Linked DNA regions of Arabidopsis thaliana. The protein of the gene in region 2 purifies or fractionates together with the protein of the main gene of each other region. This does not show direct contact. Each region holds a gene or a part of one and is shown on either strand. Other genes may lie near its edges.

Region 1 (5,747 bases), on a different chromosome or scaffold from region 2:
CTTTATCTGTTATTCATATAACTACATTTTAGATTATTAGTTGAAAATAATCGTGACAAAAAGTTAGAGGAGAGAAAAAAAAAAAAAAATCTACAAAAAAAAAAAAATCTACAACACAAAATAGGATGTAGAAAATTAAAGATTTACAGTCAAAACAAAAAGATTTTTTTTGGGGCTCTAAGTTAAAGAAAAAAACTATAACATAATTGGCAACAATTTAGTCTTTAACAAATATATTATGGCTGTAAAAGACATTTAGCACAACCAATCAAGCATCTTTACAAGTTTCATTCACAATCCAAATTTTATTTTCGATGGTTTTTGGTTATTTAATACAAATTTTCATTGTTATTATTAGGATTTGATAGTTACCGCTACACTAGTCATATCCATTTGTTTCTGTGTAAGAACAGATGTGGTAGTAACTAGAAAGTATCAAAATGTCTGGAAAAACTTTTGATCATGTAAAAAGTTGATCATTATCGCAAACAAACCATTTTTGACGATTGTTATGTACACCAAAACTTAAAATAAATGGAAGTTTTGTTATAAATTCATTAACATCTTCAGAATAAACAAAACTTATGGCCAATATCATTGTTATACATAATCTGCTCAAATTTACTAGTAAGAACAACAACGGGGAAGAAACTATAAAAGACGAATTTCTCATTCAATAAGATTAAAACTAAACCAAAGTGCAAAGGAAGAATTGCTAATGGCAGTACGAGAAACTCAACCTATGGGTGGCGGTGCCCCGTTTGGTGTATCATTGGAGCTCCTATGGGACTTGTGTTTTGATCTCTTCTCCCGTTTCTTACTCCTGATGAAGATAAATAGAGAAGGGAGTCAATTGCAGAAGCAAAGCTTATGAAATATATATAGTGGTTAAAAGAATTAGTAGAAGAGAGGTTGTTAGTGTACTCGTCATGTGAAGAACTATGTCCTAGACAAGATTTTAGCTTCCGGTTGATATGCTTCATGTCCTTTTCACTTGGGCACTTGTAGTTCTTTACCTGAGATAAGAGAGAGCATCTAGTAAAACTTCCTTTTAGATATGCAAGTTTCATTGTTAAGATAATTATGGAAGTTAGTAAATACCAAATATTCGATGTTATCAAGTAACTTTGTAAGCTCTGAAGTCGTGTGCTCAGAGTTCGGTTGAGAAACAATGTTCTCTAGGTACCTGCACCAAATGCAGTTTAGTTGAAAATACAACCAGTAAAAAGCTTTGCATATACAGAAATTCAAGACCACGAGATTAATATCATGGAAAGATTAAAAGGGTAAATAATCGGGATGGATATAGAATAAGAGAAATAACCTATCAAAGTCAATCACTCCAAGAACCCCATTTGCAATACGTAACGACGCCAATGCCAACTACAAGGGCACACGTTCAAGAGTTGAGAGACAGTACAACAATTTGTGATACTTCTTTTGTTACATATACGCTAAAGAAAAACGAAAAATCCTGAAAGAAGGAACAAGGTGAGTATATATCGATAAGCTATACTACTATATCATAAACATTCATTAATTTCACTTAAATATCAGTCAAAGAGAAAACAAAGCACCAACTTTCATCCTAAATTTATGTCTTGAGTAGCATATTTAAAGCTTTACTGAAATATCCCAAACAATGAGTTTAACCAGATTCTTTGATGGATATTATTCAGTATCTTTAATCTGATAATAAGAGGCTAGGGAGACAAAATAAACTAGCATGCCCACCTGGCCAGGAGGAAAGAGGAGTGGAGCATCTGTGAGCATAACTTTATCGGCTTCTGCTGTCGCCCCTTTGAGCAAACTCTGCAGAATACTTGAAAAGTTATGCCAGTATGAGAAAATAATATTTCAATAAAGCCTGTTAAGTAAATAGACTTACAGCTATGATCACAAACTTACACTAAAATTTACATTTTGATCCCACATTCAGTTACCACATGCTTAAAATCTAGTGAAGATAAAGGAAATATCTGAAGATAGATCTACCTCTAGTTTTTGGATTTCATCATCTCTAGCTTGAAGAAATTCCTATAGGATGAAAAGATGAGGTTACTTTTGAAGATAGCGTGAAGTTCAACAAGGATGAAAAATAACACACCGAAAAAAGTATTGAAAATCTTGGTATATCCTATTATGGTTCACCAAGTTCTTGGCGTTAAGTTAACATTCAGAATTTTGTTTGCAACAAAACAATTGCCAATAAACTGAAAAAGAGTCTCATCACTATAAGATGTAAACAGAGAAAAGCCAGTTGAAATAAGAAAACCTACTAAGAAATTTAGACAGGACTGATTTACCTCCATGTTGTTGACAAAACCTTCGATTGCACGATACGGTGCATAAACAATCAGATCAAATTCCAAACTCTGCACATAGAGTTAATATAATATGAACAAAAGAATAGAGAGAGAAAAGAACACCAGGGAAAAATAAACATAGGGAAGTTGGTACAAATTAATTGACTCATATCATACCTGAAGAACAGCCATCTCGTACTTGAGAATTATTCGGTGATCTTGGTTAATCCCTTTCCCAATTTCCTCAGCAGATACATGATTCTCCTCTATTTTACAAGCTGCATACACACAGGTTAACCTGTTCAATGAAAGGTAACAATTAGTCCAAATTACAACAATGGACCATTTATGACTGACTTAAAAAGCCTCTCAGAGCTCAGAAATACAAAATGCTTAGCTCCATTTGGTAAACAATTTCAAAACTATTCTCTTGAAAAAAGCAAAGCTTTTGACCATTTTGAGGATTTAAAAGAACTATACATTATCTCTTTTGGATGATGTTGCATAACAGACCATTGCAGATAAAATCTCTTAAAGTATTGGAGGGCTGTTGCCTGCAAAATATTAGAAGGAAGAAACATAAATTCAGAGAGCAAACAAAAATCAGGTATTTTATTTTTAACTTCATCATAAACTTCTATCTCGACGAGTAGAAATGCACCTGAATCTTGTGAGGAAATGCAAAGGCACTGCACACTTCTTGGACCTTTGCCTCATAAAATGCTCTCATGAACCTTTCTTCATCAGCACTCAAAGGCTTAAGCTTCTTATCAGCTGAGAGTAACAAAGCAAAAAGTAACATTATTTAAACTTCGACAAACAAAACTATGATACGTATGAAGTAGATATTGAAGGAACCAAAATTTTTACCTTGATCTCCTGAACCAACTTTATCTTTAGGATATGTTAGTGATCCACTAGCATCTACTTCAACTTGAGTTGTTCCACACTATGAATAACAATAAGTTAAAATCTAAACATGAATACAGGACTAAAGCTCCATATCAACAATTATTCTAACAAACCTTCTCCAGCATTTGCACTGCCCTCTGGTTAGCAGCTTTATATCTCTCTGCCTACAATTACAACATTACAGCTTAGTTGCAATACCAATATCTCTACACAACAAGTAAGATAATAACAACAACAACACACATAACTAAGTAACAAAGAGTTCCAAATGCTCGATTAATCCGACTCTCTATGAAGCAATCAAAGCAAAGAAAATCCAAAGATGAACAAAATATAATTATAAAGCCGCATTGTAGTGATCAGAAGGAGAAGGGGATTACCAGTTTCTGGGGAGTGAAAATCCACTTGGCCCGTTGTGTTGATGTCTGAAAATCCGCCATTAACTGAGTTTTCAAAATTTTCGAAATCGAAAAATCTGAGCTTTCGAATTTCTTTGTGGAAAGTTCAGATTTTTGATCGAATTCACACGCTGTTGATGGCGATTATCCGTCTGAATCGGAAGGAGATTCTATAGATATTTCAATTTTGAATTTTAGGGCTTATATTAGAATTTAGGAGAAAAAATTATCTGGTGCTCGATTTGAATGGAGATTGGAATTGGATTGAGTTAGCTACGAGAAGAAGATGTTTTTGGTAATGAGAAGACGAGAATGAGGGAAGAGAGGAGAGCAGACGCAATATCTTGTCGGAATTCAGATGTGAAGACGAGTATGAAGGGAAAAAGAGGAGAGTACGGCAGAGCAATACAGTGTTAATGTCGGAAGTTGCTCATACGGCGAGATCGTTCCTGGCTTTGAGACTTGCGAGGAAGAAGAAACGTTGGTGAAACGACGTTCTTTCATGTTAAACAATAAACCCTAAGGTCAAACGATGTCGTTTAGCAAACATATTTATTATAAACGGTGTCGTTCGCTAACCCATTAAAACCCTTATTAACAGCCCTTTACTAACAAAAAAAAGAACAAGAATTTTCCAACCAAAAATAAGGTCATGGCTTAAATTTATGTTTCCAACCCTTAATAACACCCATACATGTGTCCAATTTATAGAATCTAAGTAAAAGTATAATATAGTGTTAATCAATCATTTTTTGAGTTTGACTCACGATTTTAGTTAGGTCTGGACATTCGGATTTTCGGGTCTGTTTAGATTGGGTTTTTGGGTTACTTTGGTAAAGAGATTGAAAATACATTTAGGAACTGAAAATATCGGTTGAGGTCTATTCGGGTTCGGGCTGGTTCTCAAATTTAATTGAAACCTGATATTGAACCTGAATTTACCGACAAATTATGTATACGTATTATTTCGAGTTACATGTATCCGTTTGAGTTTCGATATTTCAGGTATCTGTTCAGGTTTCAGATCCTACACGAACCAAACCAAAACCCCAAAATAAACACTTTAGATCCACTCGAACCAAAGCGAACTAGGTTTTTCGGGCTTCGGATTTTATGGTCATGCCTAGTTTTGTCCTTTGAAACATTAAAATTAGAAGTAAATCTACATATACATTTTTGCAGCCATTTTAGCAAATAAATTTTGTACTTGTATTTACAATGTCATGCCATTGACATTAAATATTTCCTGTCGATAATTAAATACAAGATATTATATTCAACAATAGTTGCCAAAGATCTTTCAAGATATATAATTGGTATTAATTATTCAGATTTGAAAATTTAAATACTTTATATTGCGCTCAACAAACGTTTCCAAAAATCTTTCCAACTTAAGTAAAAAATAATTATTATTTTTAAATATTATAGATATATTTTAACTTTATAAAACATTATTATTATTTAAACTTATAAAAAAATATCATGAGATGAGAAATATAGCGGGACGGGTTTGGATTGATATGAAATATAGTGGGACGAGTTTGGATTGATATAGCACATGTTAAATATTTATTTTATTATTTTATCATCACCATTTGTTTTAGTTATAACATTAATATAAAATTATAAAACTTAAATACTAAATTAAAAACCGTAAAATTTAATATTATTATATATGAATAAAACATTTGTCCGTGGTACACCACAGGTTAAATCCTAGTTGTTATTAAAGGTATTTCAAACATATCCATTTGGCATTGTTCTAGAATTTTAGTTAAGGAATAGTATATATTTGAGATTTTGTATTAAGGTGGGAATAAATTATTTCAGCCATTAGGATCCAAAATGACCCAAGAAAATAATCACTGAGAAAGAAAGAAAAAAAAAACAGCTCCAAAGTAAAAGGTAACCAAAGTTACAATGAATGATGACAAAAAAAAGTTACAGAATCAATGGTAACTAATTATCAACAGCCTTTGGAGCTGTTCAAATTATTAACTAACTATAAACTAAACTAACCTCTACAATCCAAACAATTAAATCTGATCTCCAAGTGTTATCTTCGATGTCAGGTTAATTACAAAGGACACAAATGTTTCATGACGTTCTTACAAGAGCCATTATTTGAGTC
Region 2 (4,317 bases):
AAAAGGTTATAAAACTCTAAAACAATGTTGATGAATGTGTGGATGCAGGTAGGAAATGGGCTGATGGACGATTTCCATGACAGGCTTGGTCTTTTCCAATATATTTGGTCGTTGGGTTTTATATCTGACCAAACATACAGCTTACTGCAACTTCAATGCGGTTTCGAATCGTTTATTCACTCCTCCAAACAGTGTAACAAGATTCTGGAGATAGCGGACAAAGAAATAGGTAACATAGACCAATACAGTGTCTTCACCCCAGCTTGTGTTGCCAATGCTTCCCAGTCAAATATGTTGCTAAAGAAAAGACCTGTAAGTGGCCTTAAAACTTCTCTTTTCAATGTTACACTCTTTAGTGTCCTAATTTCTCTGTTTATTTTACTTAGATGACTAGCCGCGTGAGCGAACAGTATGATCCTTGTACGGAGAAACACACTACAGTTTATTTCAATCTTCCAGAGGTTCAAAAAGCCCTCCATGTCCCACCAGGACTTGCACCATCAAAATGGGATACTTGCAGGTAAAATTGCCTTGCAATATCTTAGAAACTTGGTTTTGGAGGAAATGAGCCTATTTAAGTATTGTAACAATTCTGATCCCGACAGCTTTGGTTATGCAGTGATGTCGTGAGTGAACACTGGAATGACTCTCCTTCCTCGGTTCTAAACATTTACCACGAGCTTATAGCTGCTGGGCTTCGTATCTGGGTTTTCAGGTCTCTTTCTCTAAATATATCCACTGAAAGCACTTTAACGATATCTTTTCTTCAAGTGTTTTGGCGTTTTGGTGGTAAAAAGAAAAGGTTTTGTTCTTTGGTAACAGTGGGGACGCAGATGCCGTTGTACCAGTCACATCAACCCGGTACAGTATCGATGCACTAAACCTTCGTCCTTTGAGTGCCTATGGTCCTTGGTACTTAGATGGACAGGTACAAAACAAAACTCAAGATGAGAAAATGAGAATCCTTTTCTTATGTTATAAGAAAAACTTATAAACAGTCATGATTTGAAACAGGTGGGAGGGTGGAGTCAGCAGTATGCTGGTCTGAACTTTGTGACAGTGAGAGGTGCAGGCCATGAAGTTCCTTTGCACAGACCGAAGCAAGCTCTTGCGCTCTTCAAGGCTTTTATATCTGGAACTCCATTGTCCACACATGAGAACAGCATCAGCCGCGACATGTCTGAACTCGTTAGTGACTCATAATGAGTTCTGATTTGATGTAATGTGTGATTTGGATTCTCAATCAAAAACTTTCCACATAGGCCGTTGAAATAAGAAGAGGGAAAGAGAATAAATCAGTGTTTTAAGTGATACGTTCAATGCTTCTTCTTCTTCTGGTTGTTTGTTTGTTTGGATAAACATTTGCTGCTTGGAATCTAATAAAAGAAGTTTCTACCATTTGTCAGCCATACGATCCTTGAATAACAACAACATATTCTTGTGTAATGAGAAAGTGAAGTCTGATCTGTGATGTATAGGACTGGGTATTAATCTGGTAACGGATATAATACTGGGGTAGAAAATAGAATTTAGACTAGTATTGGGGGTCTAAACGAAATTATACAGAAGCATTGGGCTTGACTTGGCCCATGAGACCTAAGCCCATATTTTAAAGAATTAGGGGTTTCTTCTTCCTTTGTCTGTTCAAATTGAAGAAACCTGTTTTTTTTTTTTTTTTTCTGGAAGTGAATTGTCTTGAGTTGAACATTGAACTTCAATTGGTCGGAATCTGCAATTTCTGAGGTAAAGGTTTCATTTTTAACCTTTATTTGTTTGGGTTAAGATGAGATCTACGACGTTTTGAATGAGGATTCGGACGGTTGGGTGTTTCAGGTTTGGGCTCAGTGTCTTCTCTCGCGCGTCCCTCTTCACCTTCTTATTTCTACCTGTGAGTCTCACTTTTCTTCTCTCCGGTCTTTAGCATTCTATTGAATAGAAGAATTGGCATATAGCTATTAGCTATTTTCCTCAGATCGTGTTTTAGGCGACTTTCTGTTCTCGCTTGCTTAACATTGTACTTCAGTGTCGAATTCATATCCTACACATGAGTCTACATAAACATTGTGCTTTATGCTTGCTTCCTTAGTTCCTCAGAAATCCTTGGAAAATCCGCAGATTTATCTTCTTCGCTATCTGGAATTGTTTTCTTCGTAGGTTTCTTCTCGTTCATGTGTTTTTCCCTATTGGGATAATGGTTTTCAGCTCTAAAGATTCTATAGCCGAAAGTAAAAATAAGACTTGTGTAATATTTGCTGCAGCTTTATTTGCGAAATCACGTCTAAAACCTTGTAGGTAGAGGAAAGGACAAGAATCCCAGGCAGAAGCAACCATGGTGATGGTGTCTAATTCTACCCATCAAAATAAGGAAATACATGTCAGAAGGAGAATCTCTGAGATGTATTCTTCGTTCTGATCTTTTTCTCTCGTTGCATATCATGCTTGCCTGTGCAAATGGTGTGATATTTAAACCCCTTGATCAATCTACTGCGTATTGATCAGTATAGACTCTTAGCATGTATAGCGCTAAATTTCACATCTGATCATTTTTATAGAAAATACTTTGTTCACTGCATACACTTAATGAAGCAATTCTCCCATCTATGGACCCAGTGAGATGCTCCATTGTTTCCTAGCATACCTTAGCATAAAATGGAGATCTTTAGTCACAGTTTCTAACAGATGAGATATAGATTTATATTAAGGTATCAATTTTTTCATTCTGTAGAAGCAGAGTATTTTCAGCCTCTTGAGTATCATGTTTTTTTTTCTTTCTTTCTGGTGATGCAGATACAATAGACGGGAAGAGGAGTTTCCATCACTTAAAGACTACAATGACTACTTGGAAGAAGTGGAGTGCATGGGTTAGTTTCACTTGTGCTCCTTATTTTCTCTATTCATGCAAGACAAGACCAATGTATATATTACCTTCTATTCCACCAGTATTCGACTTGATAGATGGAATCAATGTCGAGGCGATTGAGCAGAAGATTAAGAGATATTCTAAGGAGAATGCTGAACAGATAATGATTAATAGAGCTCGTAAGGTAGGGCCTACGTTAGCCTTACTTTTTCTTATCTTGGTTAGATGAATGAGTAGAGGAAAAGAAAGAAGATTAAAAGCATGTTTGGTTATATGATATCACTGTGCAAATTGCTTTTGGTGTATTTACAATTTGCTCCAACAGGCAGAAGAATTGACTGCAGCCTTGGCAGCTTGCAAGGCCAAACCCCCACAGACAGATGCTGACACGGTAAATTGGGTTTTAATTTTCATATCAACAAGCAGATGAAGTTTCCTGACGAAGCTGAAATCTCTTTACTTGTTTACGCATTTTGTAGTCGTCGAACCATGGGGTCACGGCTGGAACTACATATGGTCAGGCTTCACGACCAACGGGAATGGGCCCACAACCTGTACCTATAGTAGGTGGAGCAGAGCGTCAACATTACGCTATGGAAGACGAAGCGACGAGGAGGATGAAAGCAGAGAGAGCTGGAGGATTTTCTTTAGAGATAAGCAAGAGGAGGGCTTTGGAAGAAGCATTTGCAAGCATTTGGGTTTGATTTCTCAAGCGATATTAGTTTTGTCCCTTATGATAGTGACTAGGAGGTCTTGATAGCTTCCATTGTTGTCTCAGTTTACTGTCTTTTACTCTTGTGGCTGGTTTGTTTTGTATAGTTGACAAGACTCTATTACGGGCATCAAGGAAAACAAAATTTACGAAAGAAAAATCGCAAAAAATACATGTACTTGTTCAATTGTAGAGAGACGGAAACAGATGGTAGAACAGAAGCAAAAAATAAGGAGGATGGACATAGTTATTGAATTTAAAGGGATTTTGATGTCCATATCAAAGACATAGTTTCATCTTTAGCAGTTACACCGTTCCCAGTTGCCATAACATTTTCCTCTGTTTCCATACCCATCAGTATATCAAGAAATGATTCGGCACCGTCTAAACAAGACATAGAACAAAAATTCAACTTAGGAAACTTGAGGTATATGTAACCTCGGCAACACAGGCCACATAATTTGCAAATTAATCGACTCTGGCTACTGTTACGAACAACTTCCCCTTTTAGGTCATCGCAACTGAATGTGGAACCACACTTTATGTAAGCAGAGGAGTCAAAACACGCATAGATGGTGGATAGTGGTGCAACATATGTTGCAAGTGTAGAACCATGTTGTCGTATCTATTTTTTCTTCACATATTTCGCACCAGTAGATTTCATCTGTGCTAGTGCTATCTTCATAGCAAAGAGAGAGAGGATGCTCATCATATTTCCAGCATAACTGATATGGGATGGTTGCAC

What was found. Proteins that work in one complex are often made in the same cells at the same time.
Region 1: the proteins of AT4G30820 (region 2) and CYCH;1 purify together in Arabidopsis thaliana (affinity purification with mass spectrometry; 2 studies listed by BioGRID, with this or other methods). This does not show direct contact.

The regions. Positions count from the first base shown.
Region 1 is NC_003076.8:9,769,673-9,775,419, reverse strand, and holds CYCH;1 (cyclin H;1), read right to left. Parts: upstream 4,118-5,747; 5' UTR 3,659-4,117; coding exon 3,599-3,658; intron 3,383-3,598; coding exon 3,332-3,382; intron 3,256-3,331; coding exon 3,177-3,255; intron 3,081-3,176; coding exon 2,968-3,080; intron 2,861-2,967; coding exon 2,787-2,860; intron 2,605-2,786; coding exon 2,484-2,604; intron 2,376-2,483; coding exon 2,307-2,375; intron 2,038-2,306; coding exon 1,996-2,037; intron 1,813-1,995; coding exon 1,735-1,812; intron 1,384-1,734; coding exon 1,325-1,383; intron 1,187-1,324; coding exon 1,102-1,186; coding exon of another isoform or gene 1,036-1,101; exon of another isoform or gene 1,017-1,035; coding exon 741-1,016; coding exon of another isoform or gene 736-740; 3' UTR 545-735; downstream 1-544. Other genes in the region: ALY1 (protein ALWAYS EARLY 1), read right to left, coding at 5,714-5,747. UniProt on the Arabidopsis thaliana protein: Associates with CDK-2 and CDK-3 and activates the CDK kinases.
Region 2 is NC_003075.7:15,004,815-15,009,131, forward strand, and holds AT4G30820 (cyclin-dependent kinase-activating kinase assembly factor-related / CDK-activating kinase assembly factor-like protein), read left to right. Parts: upstream 1-1,679; 5' UTR 1,680-1,743; exon of another isoform or gene 1,744-1,833; 5' UTR 1,834-1,888; exon of another isoform or gene 1,889-2,292; 5' UTR 2,293-2,329; coding exon of another isoform or gene 2,330-2,372; coding exon 2,373-2,397; exon of another isoform or gene 2,398-2,679; coding exon of another isoform or gene 2,680-2,702; exon of another isoform or gene 2,703-2,787; coding exon 2,788-3,044; intron 3,045-3,185; coding exon 3,186-3,251; intron 3,252-3,339; coding exon 3,340-3,564; 3' UTR 3,565-3,810; downstream 3,811-4,317. Other genes in the region: scpl29 (serine carboxypeptidase-like 29), read left to right, coding at 49-312, 387-520, 620-715, 823-928, 1,015-1,203.